Yarrowia lipolytica: one gene and its partners. The protein of the gene in region 3 interacts with the protein of the main gene of each other region in a pairwise test. Links are inferred from orthologs where the notes say so. Each region holds a gene or a part of one and is shown on either strand. Other genes may lie near its edges. The genes, in order: YALI1_E38640g, YALI1_E25826g, YALI1_D09103g and YALI1_E39924g.

The links.
Region 1: the proteins of YALI1_D09103g (region 3) and YALI1_E38640g interact in a two-hybrid assay, tested with the Saccharomyces cerevisiae proteins (3 studies listed by BioGRID, with this or other methods). The link is inferred for Yarrowia lipolytica from reciprocal best matches to the Saccharomyces cerevisiae genes VPS21 and VPS9.
Region 2: the proteins of YALI1_D09103g (region 3) and YALI1_E25826g interact in a two-hybrid assay, tested with the Saccharomyces cerevisiae proteins (4 studies listed by BioGRID). The link is inferred for Yarrowia lipolytica from reciprocal best matches to the Saccharomyces cerevisiae genes VPS21 and PEP7.
Region 4: the proteins of YALI1_D09103g (region 3) and YALI1_E39924g interact in binary tests that used the Saccharomyces cerevisiae proteins (3 or more experiments, as listed by UniProt). The link is inferred for Yarrowia lipolytica from reciprocal best matches to the Saccharomyces cerevisiae genes VPS21 and GDI1.

Annotation. Positions count from the first base shown.
Region 1 is NC_090774.1:3,861,554-3,865,987, forward strand, and holds YALI1_E38640g (uncharacterized protein), read right to left. Parts: upstream 2,504-4,434; coding exon 857-2,503; downstream 1-856. Other genes in the region: YALI1_E38608g (uncharacterized protein), read left to right, coding at 1-685; YALI1_E38656g (uncharacterized protein), read left to right, coding at 4,070-4,434.
Region 2 is NC_090774.1:2,580,590-2,584,740, forward strand, and holds YALI1_E25826g (uncharacterized protein), read left to right. Parts: upstream 1-2,047; coding exon 2,048-3,622; downstream 3,623-4,151. Other genes in the region: YALI1_E25812g (uncharacterized protein), read right to left, coding at 1-668; YALI1_E25859g (uncharacterized protein), read right to left, coding at 3,914-4,151. UniProt on the Saccharomyces cerevisiae protein: Required for vacuole segregation and vacuole protein sorting. Possibly part of a complex which tethers the vacuole membrane to microtubules, either directly or via kinesin or dynein-like motor proteins.
Region 3 is NC_090773.1:908,962-912,343, reverse strand, and holds YALI1_D09103g (uncharacterized protein), read left to right. Parts: upstream 1-1,948; coding exon 1,949-2,578; downstream 2,579-3,382. Other genes in the region: YALI1_D09140g (uncharacterized protein), read left to right, coding at 1-480.
Region 4 is NC_090774.1:3,990,471-3,994,307, forward strand, and holds YALI1_E39924g (uncharacterized protein), read right to left. Parts: upstream 1,920-3,837; coding exon 567-1,919; downstream 1-566. Other genes in the region: YALI1_E39886g (uncharacterized protein), read left to right, coding at 1-315; YALI1_E39934g (uncharacterized protein), read left to right, coding at 2,998-3,837. UniProt on the Saccharomyces cerevisiae protein: Regulates the GDP/GTP exchange reaction of SEC4 by inhibiting the dissociation of GDP from it, and the subsequent binding of GTP to SEC4. Plays an essential role in the yeast secretory pathway.

The DNA of each region.
Region 1 (4,434 bases), on a different chromosome or scaffold from region 3:
TTACCTTACCCCCCTTACTTCTACAGGGGCCAAACCGCTGTCATCATCAAGATCTATGCAGTTCATTCATGGTCTTCAGTCTCAGATGCGGTCTCTGGAGTCACGTGTTGCACATGTCAAATCGTCCTTGCCTAAACCGACCACTCCAAAGCGTGCCAAATCTTCAGCTTCTGCTGTATCGGGAGCTTCTACTATCAAGAGTTCACCCAGTATGGCTCTTCTGACGCGTAAACTGAGTGAAGCAGACGATGTGGTCAGTTTGTCACCTTCCAGATCAACTTCTTCTCTTGAAGATCTGTGCACTCCTTCTCCCAGCCCACAGGTTGCAAGAAGAGATATGAGTGGAGGAGGAAGTCGATTGGATCTAAGAGCAGATCCTAGACTCAATGGTCGACCCAAAACGCAACAACCTAGACCTAGCTACAATTCTGCACTGGCTACAGCCAAACCTTTAGATCCGATCGAAGGATCTCCCACATCTCTAGAAGGTCGAAACCGAACCAGATCGGCTTCCCCCACCAAGAAGCTCTCTTCATTATCCCTTAATGCCCCCTCACTCCCCCAGTCCCAAGCGCGAGTCAACATTCCTGCACTCATGAGACCAGCAAGTCCCATCAAACAACCCAGCCCTCCTAAACCGGCCCCCGGATCCAAGTTCGCGGACGTCTACGGTCGGAGACGATAGCATTATACAGTCCATTTTCATAATCATTAATACATACGATACCACAACGCGCCGTCAAAAGTTTTGCTACTTGTAGTAACATCATTAGAGATTATTTTCTCTATTCATCTATATCCATCATAATTCATTAATTTCGTTCCTTTTTGATTGTAGGTAGTCGTGCAGTACACATCAGGACTCACCAACCAGCATAAGACAGTAGTCAACAGCAGCTCCAACGTTGCATTTCTTCTCTCTCACGATATCTTCAATGATTTCGTGATCGAGGATAGGGAACATTTGGTGCAGAGTGTTGACCACAGAAGCGTGTTCCTCATTTTGGATTCTTTGAGCCTCGTACTCCTCAGCAGAGGCTTGTCGAGCAGCTGCCTCCTGGTGAGACAGACCCTGGGCAACAGCGATGCTCTCAGCTTCAGACTGGGGAGTAGCGTCCTCCGTTGAAGCTCCCGCATCGTCAAAGCTGCCCTCAAAGAACTTACTGAGCGACTTGAAGGGGCTAGTAATGAGTCCTGCAGAGCTCATGAGAATGTTAGAAGGAGTGCTGCTCTCAGGTGACAGAGCTGGAGATTGTGAATCAGCTCTGCCGGGGGTGTCTGGTGGCGCAAGAGCCTTCTGCTTGGCCTCCTCGGCGGCCTCCTGCTCCTTCTTGGCGTTCTTCTCAGCAATCTCAGCCAGAGTTTGTTCCAGGTTGGTATCAAAGTCCTCATCGGTGATGCTCAACGACGACTTGTCCAGCTGCTCAACAAAAGCAACGGCTCCCAGCAGCGAAGAAAGATAGTACCCGGGCTCTCCGCTAAGCCGCTCGCTCGATCTGAACCGCTGAATATAGTTGAGGTTAGAAATCAGGTGCTGCGGCTGGGCCTTGAGAACCACATAAATAAGCAAAGGAAGGAACCCGTCTGCGGATTCCTCACTCTTGGTCTGTCTCAGAAGTCCAAAGATGACCTTGCAGCAGTTGAGCACGCAAATCATCTTATCCCGGGGAGCTCTGTAGTTGTTAATCTTTCGAAGTTCCTCACTTGCCAAAGTCACAAACGATGCACCCGATTTCCAGAACTTATCGTCAATATCCAAATGACGGCCTTCGATCCATCCCCAAAGCAGCAGTTTCTCTTCCAATACATGATCTCGGATAAGATCCTCTTCGTTTCCGTCTGCAGCGGCACTGGGATTCTTCGCATGAAGAACACCTATGCTGTCCGCATTGTCCAGCTTGACCACCTCAGGAGAATATGTCTTTGAATAAAGCCGGTTCATGATAAGCTTCTCGATACCTTCCTCCATGTTGACGAGCTCGTTGTCGGTCATATCCGCAAAGGGAGGGCTCTGCATCTGTTGGATCTTGTTGCTGATGAACTCCTTGAAATCACCAATGATCTTGACCTGCTCATTGACAGTCCATCTCTTCTTGTTGAATTCGCTGAGAAAGGACTTGAGATATCGTGCGATGGGGTCTGCGTTCTTGTGTCGCAGCAGTTCCAGAAACCGCTGAAAGTCGAAAGGGGCGTTATCATCAGACGAGCTTGGAGTGGCCTTCTCTTCGTTACCTGGAGTAGCCCCAGTCGGTCGGGCAGCATCGGTGGTTGATCCAACCTCACTTTCAGGCTCGGTTTCAACTACCTCAACCTCGACCGACTTGTTGGTATCTGTGGTGTCAGCTGTGTCCTTGGTGCTGTCGTCATCTTCAACATTTGCGCCGTGCTGTTCTTGTTCCACCTCCTCGACTTTGGTGGGTTTGGTGTTGTCCAACGGCGGATTTGGCTCCTCTTCAACCACCTTCTTTTTCGTCTTCTCGATAGGAAGATCCAACAGACTCATGGTTGTGTGTTGCTTGGTCGTGTCTTCCCAAATTTTCACTTCTGAATTATTTTGTGGTGATGTTTCTGCATGAGCGATTACATGGCGAGAGCGTACGAGTAGGTTAACTTTGGGCAGTAGGAGGTGGCAAGCTGAATATGGCACTCTTTGTGGGGAGTCCAAACAGCAAAGATAGCAGTGAAAACGACAACCGAATTATAGGCTCTTTCTGAGGCTTTTCGGGTGACTTAAACCCTTGTTTAATCCATTACAACCACCCACTTCTCGCGTTGCTGACTCACTATCTATATGTGTGCAGTGCACTGGTCCTCGGCCAGCCACCAAACAGCCTGCATGGTGACTCGCGAAGATTGCCGAGTTTGAGTTAGATGCTTCATGTTGGCTGAACTGAACTGAACTGAGCTGAGCCAGACAGCTCACACAGTGGGCTTGCAAACAGGGTCTAAAATAAAGAACACTCCATTTCTGTTGAATAAACGAAAGGGAGCGGGCCGCAGTCAATAATGAACGGCTTCCGATGACCGAGAAAAGAATCGGCTGGATGATGTTGAACAACTTCTGCTGTGCGAGTACCCAGGCGATAATAGTACATACTGTAGGAACAGGAATACTTGCACTCGTCCTCTTACTCGTACCGTACGTATCCGATACTGTGGCGTTTTCAGTGGCGCACTTTGCTTAGTTCCCCATGCTCGTGTGTGATAATACAGCAGAGCAGCCAAAATGTACTGTAAACACCATCATGCACATTCCACACATGTTCTTGGCAGAGGACAAACCAAACACCTTTAGCCACTACGAAGACTCGGAGAATATAGAGTGCTGCTAATGGTGGCAAAGAGCAAGTCGCTCTGGCGCATCTTCCCTTGTCTAAACTTTTTTTCCTCTTTTTCTTTTCTTTCCGAGCTCGTATAACCCATAAATCAAGGGGGGTTATCCAGGTCCAGACCGCCGGTAAAAGAATTTAACTACGGTATACCCTTTGCGTTGTCAAGGTTACGGTGTTGTGCCAATCCGTAAGCGAGATAAAAGGGAACGAAGAGAGACGGAACAAAGTGTCAGTCCGATAGAATTTGCAACCCGTGACAAGATGAAAAACAACCAAGCAAGAGACGGTGATTTGGGAGGGCAAAAATTATCTCCATGATGATAATATCCGATGGAGAAATCTAATAAGTATGCAGACAGGATCCATTACTCCTTTAAACCGTCCTTAATTTAGACCGGGAACTTGTGTGTCGTATTACCCCGATCTTTCAGTCCATTCAAGATGGGGTATCCACTTTTTTTTTCCTCCACCTGCAACAGCTTGCAGAGTGTAGGCATCAGAAATGAGGAAGATGGGGCACGGCGCTTTGACGAGATGGACAAGGACGTAGACGGGAAAAGACGTGATGAAATCTAATGAAAGAAAATTGGGCTTGGTTGTAGAGCAATATTTTTACCTCGAGCGATCTCAAGAGGCTACTGACGTGCCTCCAAACTCGCTGACATAATCCTACTGTATTGCCACACATTAAGTTGGTATCTGCAGGGTTCTCATCTCTACTCCTTCACACCAAAAAAATGCGTCAGGGCCTATACGCCTTGGGTTCCAATGGCCATGGCCAGCTAGGAAATGGACACATGGACGACACGGCCGAAGTACATACTGTGGTCGGACCACAGGGGCTGATTACAGAGCGACCCATAGCTCTCGAGTTTGGCGGGACTCACTCCATTCTCCTGATGCAGTCCGACCCCGAAGCATACTACGTCACTGGTTCTAACGACATGGGCCAGTTTGGAGACACTCAAACGCGCAGATGCCAGGAGTTCATTCGCATGGCCACGCCAGGCCACACCTGGAAACGGGCTGCCGCAGGGTGGACGTTTTCTCTGCTCGTAGATGAGCAGGACCATGTTTACTCATGTGGCCACTCCAACTTTGG
Region 2 (4,151 bases), on a different chromosome or scaffold from region 3:
GCGTATTTGACAGTGATTTCGTCGCCCACATTGATGGGCTTGACAGCCTGGATCACCATGCCTGAAGGAACAGGAACAAACCGAGCGTTGGCACTACAGTCGTGGTTGACAAATCGAGCAGGGCCTAGCATGAGACAGTTTCCGCCTCTTCGTGAGGAGTGGAGCACAGAAAAGTCGTTGGCAAGGGCCAGCTCTTCGTCCTTGGTCATCTTGGCCAGACAACCAGACAGACCGACAATCTCGTCTCCCCGGTTGTATCTGACTCTGGAGATGACACAGGACTCTCCTCGGTTGGAGCGGCACTTGTAACGCATGGACACGTTGATTTCAAACCCGCACGACGCCTTGTAGATGGTCAGGTATCGAACTGTGTGTCTTTGGAACTCTTCGTAAGCCAGTGGACTAAGCCGTCCTCGGTATCCTCTGACCTCCTTGAGCTCCAGAAACGCGTTGGTGGCCTTCTTCACCGCCAGATTAGCCGCAGCTCCGGTCTCGCAGGCGGCAATGGAGCGCACCAGGTCGTGGATATGACGATCTGAAATGCCGCGTAACGGCTTGTAGTGCACGGAGGCCTTGCGGACCTCGGCCCAGTAGAATACGCGCTCCAGCAGCAGGTCGGTGAGAGCGTCGTCGATGGTTGCCAACTCCCCGGGCGTGACCGTGATCATTGTGCTGTTGACGGGTCGTTAGATGGTCGTTAGTATGGCTTGTGTACAGCTTTGAATTTAGCAAAAGATGCGTGCTTTCATGCATGTGGGGGTCACAGTGGTGTGGTTGTTCTGAAGGGTGTGGGGAGAGTGTGTATATAAGAGGGTGGTTCCCGGGTGAATATTCGACATGGAAAACTCGTTTTATTTCTTTCAGGTGGTATTTACGTCGTTGCCAGGGGTTTTTCTGCTCTACAACTTGTGCATTAACTGTCACCCATCTGAGCTACTACTCCTCATGCGCCCTACACCCATAGCTGACTGACAAGGGTGATTCATAAAAGAGAGCTTGTATGAAAGACTGTGTATAACAGATATGAGGCTCTACAGTATGAGGCTGTGGTTACCGAGCCGGGTTGTACCATCACTTTTTATTGCATATCCTGTAATAATCAGAAAGATGGTGCAAGAACCAAAAACAGCCGTATATTCGTATGTACTCGTTCTTGTTCTATCTGTCCTGTCACACGTCAGCGGAAACTAGCCAACTAGTGGCTTATAGACGTGTTTTGAGAGCCGTACTATACAGAATCGTATCTCTGTCTCTGTTGTTTACGACTCTAGAAACCAGAAATGGTTTCAGAGTGGTCTTCAGAGTGGTCACACACAACCACTTATGCCCGAACTGCATCCCATCGCATGTTTCAGATCAGGCCGAGACGGTTTAAATCGGGTTTAAATCACCCCAGAGCGTTTGAATTCGATCTTGAGGGGATAACGACCCACCAACTAACGACATACAAGTGCTACTGGACGAGGTTGAGTACATTTACTGTATACAGTACCAGTGTTAAGTACCGTACGGTACTTGTAGTACTGTCAGAGTTAGAGGCAACAATATTTACTGTTTTGGTGTGCAGTACATACGAGTGTACTACTGGAATCGACTGAGATGGGGGGGGGATGTAGAGAGTCATCGTTGGGGTATCCGTACAGTATACTTGTACCACTGTGCAGGTGTAGATCTGTCAAATGAAAGGTGATTAAAGACTTCTCCATATCAAATCCCTTCTTTCTTTTCTTCGGAAGCCCTATCTTTCCGCAACTCCAGTTTCACCTTGTTGCTACAGTAAATAAACGCTATCCTTGACTTTCTTTCAACTAAATTAGGTGCAATGCTTACCCAAGTTTGTTAGCCGTCTACACCACAGCATCGGTCACAACTCCACCAGTAGACTAGATATACAAAATCAAAACACATATCCGCACTCCACGTAATCACTAAACCTCAAAACCTGCCCTACCTTTTCAACAACTCCCTAACCTGCCGACCCTCACATGCAACCCCGCCATATTACTCAGCTTATCACGCACCACCCACAAGTACACTCTATTTCAGCATGCGCAAAAAACGAGTGATCGGAACCAAGGTGGAGCCGGTGAAGGAGCCCAAGGTGGTGCAAACAAGCGCCGCTCCCACTCCGCCACCCCCGCCGACCCCGCCGGTCGTCTCCACGGCGTCCCCAGGCCCCGAATCACACTCAGCCACTTCGCTGACATGTCCGATTTGCGAGGAGACAATGTTGACGCTGATGCAACTGAATCGGCACATTGACGACGTACACGGTGATGGCAAGGTAAAGGGCAAGACACGGGCGTCCAGCGAGAAACCACACACGAAACCGCGACCCACCGACGAAATGGTGACCAGACGGCACTGGAAGCACCCCGGACCGGGCCAAACATGCCACTATCCGGACTGCAAACGCAAGCTGGGAGCCAGGAACGGCTCAAGGCACTGCCGACATTGTGGAAACATCTTCTGCCACGGCCACAGTCGCTACAGAATGAAGTTGAGCCGAGATGCTCACCACCAACCAAAGGGCGGTATCTGGTGTTGGGTGTGCAAGACTTGCTACACGGGCAGAGAAGGGTACAATGACACGACAGGTACTGAAAGAGATCTGACGCAAGAGTTCAAGAAAAAACGCCAGGCGAAAATCGACATCCAGGAGCTGTCCGTCAATAAGCTGGAAAACAGACTGAGACGACTTGCGGAGGAAAGCATAGAGAACGAGAGCTCGGGACCCTGGTGGAAACCCAAGGCGGCTGTCACAGCCTCAGTACCATGGCAGGAAGACTCAACACAGCCCAATTGTCCGGAATGCCAGGTCAAATTCACCTTTCTGATCCGCCCTCATCATTGCAGGGTGTGCGGAAAGGTGGTGTGTGGACAGACATCCACACAATGTTCTCTTCCTGTTGGTGTGAACATTTTAATCAACAGTCTCGATATGAAAGAGGAGTTCAGCGACACCATTCCAACAGATTGCGAACCCATACGGATCTGCATGACTTGCAAGAATACAGTCTTTGGTAGACGTAACTTTCAGCGGGATGTCAACTCCGATCCCAGCGAGCTGCTTAAGCTGTACAACACCATGACCCATCTGACCACTTCCATCGAAAACATGATGCCTCGGTTCCAAAAGGAGCTTGAGGAGACGATTGCGTCCAAAAAGATGGCCGGTATGCATCCCAAGGACATTTTGGCAGCGTCCAAGCTGCGTAAGCGTCTTCTCGATACCTTTTCGCAGCTAGATTCGGCTGCTAGAAGAGTAGGAGCACTGGAGGGACTGTCTCCTACAGAAGAGCGAATACAGCAACAGATATACACAGCTGCGGTGTCATTTCTACAAGAGAAGATGCTGCCCTTGAAAACGCTTCCCAAGGTGCTGGGTAGTGAAGCTACAGCCCCCGAGCCAGCTAAACCCCGTCCTCCTGCCAACTACAAGGCACTTCAGCAACAGCTGGTGGTCATGGAGGAACAGAGGTTTATGGTGGAGAACATGATGCTGGAGGCCAAGCAGAGGCGAAAGTACGACGAACTGGGGCCTTTAGAGATGTCTGTGAAGGATCTCGATAAAGAGATTGAAATTCTGAGGAAGAGGCTAGGAGATGAAGCATTTGTTTAATCTCAGTTTAGAGCAGCACCACGAAGGAATATTTGTACTCATAGAAAGTGCTAGCGACCCTATGGCATGATACTGTATGTATCAGAACAGTAATGAATAATGAATGATGACAATTATGTATATTACTTGTGGCGGATTCGGTGACTGTAGATAATTGTACAAGATACAACTATACTTGAACATCACATACGAGTGCGGAACATTTCAGAACGTGAAAATGTTCTGTGATTCTAGATCAAGTCTGTAATTACTCCATACTCTATCCAACATACATTAGCTATACTTGTCCTTCTAAGACCGATCGAAGAGCCCATCATCATCATCGTAGTCGTCTCCTCCGCTGACGGACCAATCGTCCGAGTCGCCCATTTCGCTGTCATCGTCATCATCGTCATCTTCGTCATGGTCGTCAGTGTATTCGTCGGACTCCATCAAACCCTCCAAGGACAGCTGTAGCATGGTTTCGTTCTTGGCCACCTTGCCAGCCTCCACCTTGTATCCTCCTTCAACATTGCAGCCTGTGAGTTTG
Region 3 (3,382 bases):
GACGGCCGCCAGACCGACTCGTGGGCTCTTGGTGTACTTTTGTACGCCATCATGGAGGGTCGGCTTCCGTTTGACGCGCCCCGAACGTCTGGGGGTGGCCGGTCTCGTGGCCGGACGGCCCACCGGATTGCCCGGATCGAGTGGTCCTGGGGCGTGTTCAAGGACGAGCCCGATGGAACACCTAATACGTCTCCCAACCCCACCGGTCTAGGCGTGCCCACTGGCCAGTGGGATCGCGAGGCGTGGACCGGCGGCAAGGAGATTGTAAAGGGCTGTCTACAGCGGCGCAACAAGCGGTGGTCAGCGTTTGAAATTGGCCAGAGGCCGTGGGTCAAGGAGGTGCTGCCCAAGCGGCTCATTATGCGCGCTTCCATTGACGGTATGGCTGTGGAAACCAAGATGGTCAGTGTTGATACCCGGGACGTAGAGCGGGCGGCTTCGGAGCCTGCCCGAACCGAGCCTGCTACGATCAAGGCGTAACAGTTTGGTGGTTGAGACGATTTGGAGGAGACGATTTGGAGGGGACGATTTGGAGGAGACGATTTGGAGATGACGATCTGGAGGAGACGATTTGGAGATGACGATTTGGAGATGACTTGAGGGTGCGAGAAGTGCTCAACGAGATGACGATTATGACTTGCTCAACGAGATGACCACATTTGGATCTCGACTCACATGTAATATACTATATTTATTTGCATCATTAGGGGTAATTGAAGGTACCGGCAAGTAGAGTGGACTGTAACGAATGTCTTGCTCCGTATTATGTTTGAATGTGATGATAGGAAGGTGGATACTTGTACAAGAGTTGCAATCCGCATTTTCTTCTCAGATTCTGTTTGTTTAGGGTCAATTTGAAATTACTGTACATACATCGGAATACACATGATTCTTGCTTGTAATATAATATTTCAAGACTGCATACAGAGTGATGATGGCAGTTATCATGACAGATTATCACACACGATATACTGTATGTACTAGTCCGTCTGCTAATAATAGTTCAACACACCGTGTGTACAGTACAAGTACAACGTCTGTTTATAAACAGAACATGCTGAGCGAGTTGGGTCAATCACGTGACTGTGTCATTGGTGTGCCTTATGTAATATTTTGTAATATTTTGTATGGTAATGTGCCATCATTGTGTACTGGCTGTGTTATCGCATACCATAATCACCGTATCAAAAGTGAATGCAGTTTGCTGACACTTTGTACACCACCTCGGATTAGATCAAGTTAAAGCTCAGCGTGCGATTACTCAGCACTCCCTCTCTGGTCCTCGTCATTGGCACGATTTGGCTACATCGGTCTTGGATACGACGTGTGTTGGATAAGAGGGAGAGACGGTGCAGGCCAGCGCATCTGATACGGTGATTGCCCGTTGGTAGCGCTGTTCAGTAATACAGCTTTGTTTAGGTTCGCCCAGTGCAGGCAGTTGGACGCTTGTTCTGTAGCTATTGTTCAAGACTGTGGCTGGTATGGCAGGTGGTTGCAAGAGAAAAAAAGTCCGTTGCGAGCGAGTTTGGTCACGTGACAGGAGGAAATGTATATATCTATGTGATTCCGGGATCCCCTTTTCAGGTACCGGCTGTGTCTGTCTCGTCACTGCCCTCGGCATTATTATTGCCACCAACTCTCAGTTCTCCCAACCCACTTTGCCACTTTAGGACAAGCTCAGCGCTACCTTTGACTTTGACTTGGGTTGCCTCCTTTCTGTATCGTGACAGCACAGCTACAGCTACAGGATAAACGACGGCTCCCAGTTACTACAACAATCTCCCCGTGACCGTGACAGCAGCAGTGACATCAAAGCAACAGCGCAACAGCAACAGCAACCGCAACCGCAACAACAGCAGCGTCACCACTTGCAGTTTTACTCCAGAACATTACACTACTTTCACACGTAGTCACCTTGACATCTACAACACCGATAACAGTTCTCAACATGTCTGCCCCCAGAAAAACCACCAGCGTCAAACTGGTGCTGCTCGGCGAGGCCGCGGTCGGCAAGTCGTCGCTGGTGCTGCGGTTCGTCAGCAACGAGTTCCAGGAAAACAAAGAGCCCACCATCGGCGCAGCCTTCCTCACACAAAAGTGCAACTTCCCCGACCGCACAATCAAATTTGAAATCTGGGACACGGCCGGACAGGAGCGATTCGCCTCTCTGGCGCCCATGTACTATCGAAACGCCCAGACCGCGCTCGTGGTCTATGACATCACCAAGCCTCAGTCATTCATCAAGGCCCGACACTGGGTCAGCGAGCTCAAGTCCCAGGCATCTCCAGGCATCATCATTGCCCTGGTCGGCAACAAGCGAGATCTGGTGGACGACGACGAGTCTGCCCGAAAGGTGGCGGAGGACGAGGGCAAGCAGCTCGCCGAGGAGGAGGGTCTGCTCTTTTTTGAAACCTCGGCAAAGACCGGCCTCAACGTCAAGGACGTGTTCATGGCCATTGCCCAGAAGATTCCCGAGGAGCAGAAGGCGCCATCTGGAGGCCTCAGAGGAGCAGAGGAGGACAGCAGGGTCGACCTCAACTCGGCCGTCGCTGGCCCCGAAAGCAGCTGTGCTTGTTAGATAGAGTAATTATTGCGGAGATGCGCCATCCCAGCGGGCTGCCAATACAAGTGGCAGGCGTCGGTGTATGGCCTCAAGTAGACTCTACTTGTAGTTCACTTGTATCGTCCATGTCGGCGTCCATATTTTTTTAATCACCTTGTCTGTCTTGTTATCTACAAGTACAAGTACTGTGTGGACACAGCCCACTTCTCACTCACAAAAACATGGTCCCTGCGTTGGCCTTATTCACAGGTAGGCAGTAATTATGAGCATGGATAATGACGCATTTTTGTACGCAAACAGTTGAGAATAAGGTACCCCGTCATTCGCCGCGGTCAATCGGGCGCTTCAGGCGGGTCACGTGACCCTAGTATCCTGTCGCCATCGGCTTGTCGGACACTTGTGTATTTTGGTGTCACACAGTGTTTCCTCCTAGAGAGTAGATTGCGATCTTGGTCAGATGACATCATAATGAGACACATGCGCGGCTCGACGAAGCAATAGGATAATCGGCTGAAGCTGCAATTGGGGAGATAAGTAGCGCTGTGAAGGGGGATTTCTTCCCCAGGACACAAATAAAACCCCCCATGAAAAGCATTCTTTCGATCTTCACGCCACAGAAATTAACTCGGTTATACGAGGCAACCCCCACAGACACGTTTTAGTTGAATGTTGTTGACAGAGCCACCGAGATTAGTTGAGAAGCTCTCAAGATTCTTAATCTGTCACTCGATAATATGTCGATATGATGAGTTTCGGACGTCCAAATTGTTGGTATTTTCAAATTCAATTCGGACCCGTGAACGCCGCACAGACACGGAC
Region 4 (3,837 bases), on a different chromosome or scaffold from region 3:
GGCCTCCACCAAGGAGCTCCTCCTCCTCCTCATATGCGAGGACCCCCACCTCATATGGGAATGGGTGGTCCCAACATGGGTGGCCACAACATGGGTGGCCACAACATGGGTGGTCCTCCTCCCAATATGGGTCCTCGACCTCCTTATGGTGGCGGGGGACCTGGTCATGGCAATAAGCACGATCTCTTGCTTTCGGGCAACCCCGACTTCCAGTTCCAGCCTCAAACTCGGCGAAAACCTGGTCGCGGCGGTCGACCCGGCATGTCTCCTGCTAGCTTAATGGGCCGAGATACCGGACCATACAGCATGAGATGAACAACTTAATCAGGCACTCTAGAGCCTGGTTAATACTTTTTATTCTAGGCGTTGTAATTAATTTATTTGGTTGGTTAACACTGTGCGAGTGTGTAGGATGGGGTCTGGGTTGCGTATGCGTTTACTTAACATTAACGAGTCATCAATTTATCTTATATTCGCAGTTATCTACTCTGCAATTCCCTAAGTAAGATTACATAATATCATGCATAATCACTCATTTCAATATATTATCATTACAGACATGCAGCTTACTCGGCTCTAATAGCGCTCTCATCCTCCTCGTTCTCGGGTCGGGGCTTGACCACCAGGGGCTGGCCAGTCAGGCGGAAATAAATGTCCTTGACATCGTCAGTGGTCGACTCGAAATGCGAAGACGAGTCGTAGGACTTGGAGATGAAGACTCCGTCCTTGGTGCCATCCTCGATGGGCTCGTAGATGTCGGCAATGCCCATCAGGGTCTCCTTTCGGGGACCCAGCAGGTTGAAGGCAGGCTCAAGCTCAATGTGGGGCTTGTCGGTCTCGATGATGGTGGAGACAATGGCCAGGTAGTGGTCCTTGGCGCAGACGTTGTGGGCAGAAGACATGACAGCAATATAAATGTCGTTCTTTCGCTGGACCTGGTTCTGGGGGATGATGATCTGAACAGAGTCCAGGTTGCCAGTGTTGGGCACGGGGTGGTCCAAAATGCACATGGCTCGGATAACCTTCTGGCCAGTCTTCTTGACCTTCTCAGGGAAGTAGGTGGGATCACCGATGACAATGGGAGCGGAAGCAACCTCGCCCTCAGACTTGACACCAGTCACCTTGCCGTCCTCACCGTAGACAATCTCGTCAACGGGCTTGTTAAGCATGAAGGTACCTCCGTAGATGGCGGAGAGACGGGCAAAACCCTGGGGCAGCTCACCCAGACCGTAGACGGGGTAGATGTAAGGAGACTTTCCGTATCGGGCCATGGAGTTGAGGTAGAGGGCGATTCGCTCCACGGTCTCTCGAGCAGGCTGCTTGAGGTAGTCGTCGTTGGTCCACAGAGCCATAGAGTGGCCCACAAAGTCCCGAGTGCCGGTCTCAAGACCAAACTTGAGGTAGACCTCGGACATGGTGTTGGTGTCGAGCTTGAGGCCCTGGTGGGTGGCGAGATCGTCCTCCTTGTAGCCTCCGACGAACTCGAGGAACTTGGCAAGTCGTCGCTTCTCAAACATACCCATGAGAGAAGAGTTAATGGCCTCCGATCGGTTGGAGGGCACCTTGGCGATCTTTCCAGATCGGAAAACGAAGGAGCCGGAAATCTGCTTAAAGTCGATGTATCGGGTCACGTTGGTGTGCACCAGAATGTTGGAAAGCTCTCCATTGGCCATGAGGAATTTAGGGATCAGATCCACGTTCCAGTCTCGGTCTCGGCCCAGTCCGTCGGGCTTGGTGTCCTCCTTGCCAGGTCTGAACTTCTTGTAGAGCTGGGTAAGGTTGAGAGAAGCAGACTCTCCACCGTAGTGGTCCTGCCGGTCAATGTGCAACACCTTCTTGCCCTCGACGGATAGGATACCGGAGAGAATGCACTCGGTAAGGCCCGTGCCGAGCACAATGACGTCGTATTTTTCGTCCATGATGATATGTGGGTTGTTGTATAAGAAGGGTTCAAGAGAGAGGTTCCACGAAGGCTAGCGTAAGGTGTTGCTTAAGGGACGTGGTTGATTAGGGTTGCGTTACCCGGATTTGGTTACTAGTGCAATCTGGGTTAGGTCTTTCCGTGGAAGGTGACACTATAAAGTACAAGCTATGGTAGGGAGGTAGAGTCAGTTGTCGTTTAATCATGACAGGTACCCGCCTCCCCAGCTCTCATCATAGTGTAGCGACTCATCTCTAGATTCGCCATATCGCTACGTGGCCATGCATGGTTGCACGGTTGGGACACCCGTCATGCAGAATCAGGGATGTTAATAGCCACACAAGGCTTGGAGGTGTGAGTGCGGCAGTGCGACTGAAAGAGTTAGCCTGTGATCAGTGAGACAATTGAGTGTTTATCTGGGTGAATTGATAAGTTGTATACGTTCATATCGTTTATTGATGATTGCGTGGCCATCGTAACAGCACGTGCATATTCTCAGCAGTACTCATGTGTGTCTCCTGGGAGCTGAGTTGTTGCTGCGGTTACCATCATCATGATCGTATCCTCGTAATTTTAGCCATACGAGTACGATACCATTGCAGGTACTTGTACTGTATTGATACGAGGCGAGCAGAGTCGATATAGAGCACATAACGATAGGGAAAGAGTGGGACAATTGCTAGAAACTATGGCGTTCCTATTGTTTTTGTTCTTCCCTCTCTCCAGATAAATTTCTCATAACCTGCCTTAACCATGGCTTGAGAATCATTTCCCTCTGAATTTTCACTTTTGATCAGAAAAAAGTAACGTTCCACCGTTCTGATGGATATGTACTGCGGCTTTAGAGGTCCTATTTAGGAAACTACATGCGACGATTGGATATGAATAACACCGATTTCAAGCTGACTCTTCGATGCCGAGTGCTTTTGTCTTCTCCACCCCCACATCCAGTACCCCCACATTCAACCCCCCACACCAGATTATTGAGTACATGTTTAGGCAACCTTATACGGCTCTAGACCAGTGATAAGTAAGAGTCAAATTCATCCTTCTCGAAACATCACAACGACAGTGAAATGACTCGATTGCCGCTGATATCGATAAAAGACGCGAAGTTCCGCATGATTGGGGCCCTGGCCTCGTCAGGATCCAACCCTTACATTTTCCCCAATCCCATTTCGCTGACAATCAACCCGGATGAGAAATGGGTCATCAGTGGACCTCGAAAGTCGCAATTGATGTCCATTCTGGCCGCCAAACATGTATCAGATCCACCTCTGGGCCGGCAGTACCCTTTCCTCAAGAAAAAACGGGTTCCCAGCCAAGTCATCCAGACGCTGGAGTTCCGAGGATCAATCAACATGGGTCACTTGTCAGCTCGATATGAGTTCTTCAAGGACGAGTTCGACATGACTCTCATCGAGGAGCTCAAGCGAGCCTCCCGTGATCCCGCAACCGCGATGGACGACATTCCCCAGTTGCTGAAGATGTTGGAGCTGGACCAAATTGGTGATCGATGGTTTGGAGCTCTTTCCAACGGGCAGACCCGGCGATCTCGAATCGCCAAGGCTCTCATGAAGCATCCCGAGCTTCTGCTCATCGACGACCCCTTCCTTGGTCTCGATCCCGGTGCCGCTGACCTTGTCAGCAATGTCTGCAAGGAATTGCCTGAGACCAGAGGTACACACGCCATTCTGGGTCTGAGATCCCACGAGACGGTCCCCGACTGGATCACCCACGTGGCTTACGCCGATAAGTCTGGAATCGTGGTTGCAGGAGAGAAATCTCTTTCTGGTGAGCTTCTCGAGAAGGCAAAGACTAAGCATGACGAAAAGATCTTTCTCCGAGGAGAACGAGCCAAACAGGCCCGGGAGAAACTGGCCTCTGATCAGGACGCCCCCTCTGTACTGACCATG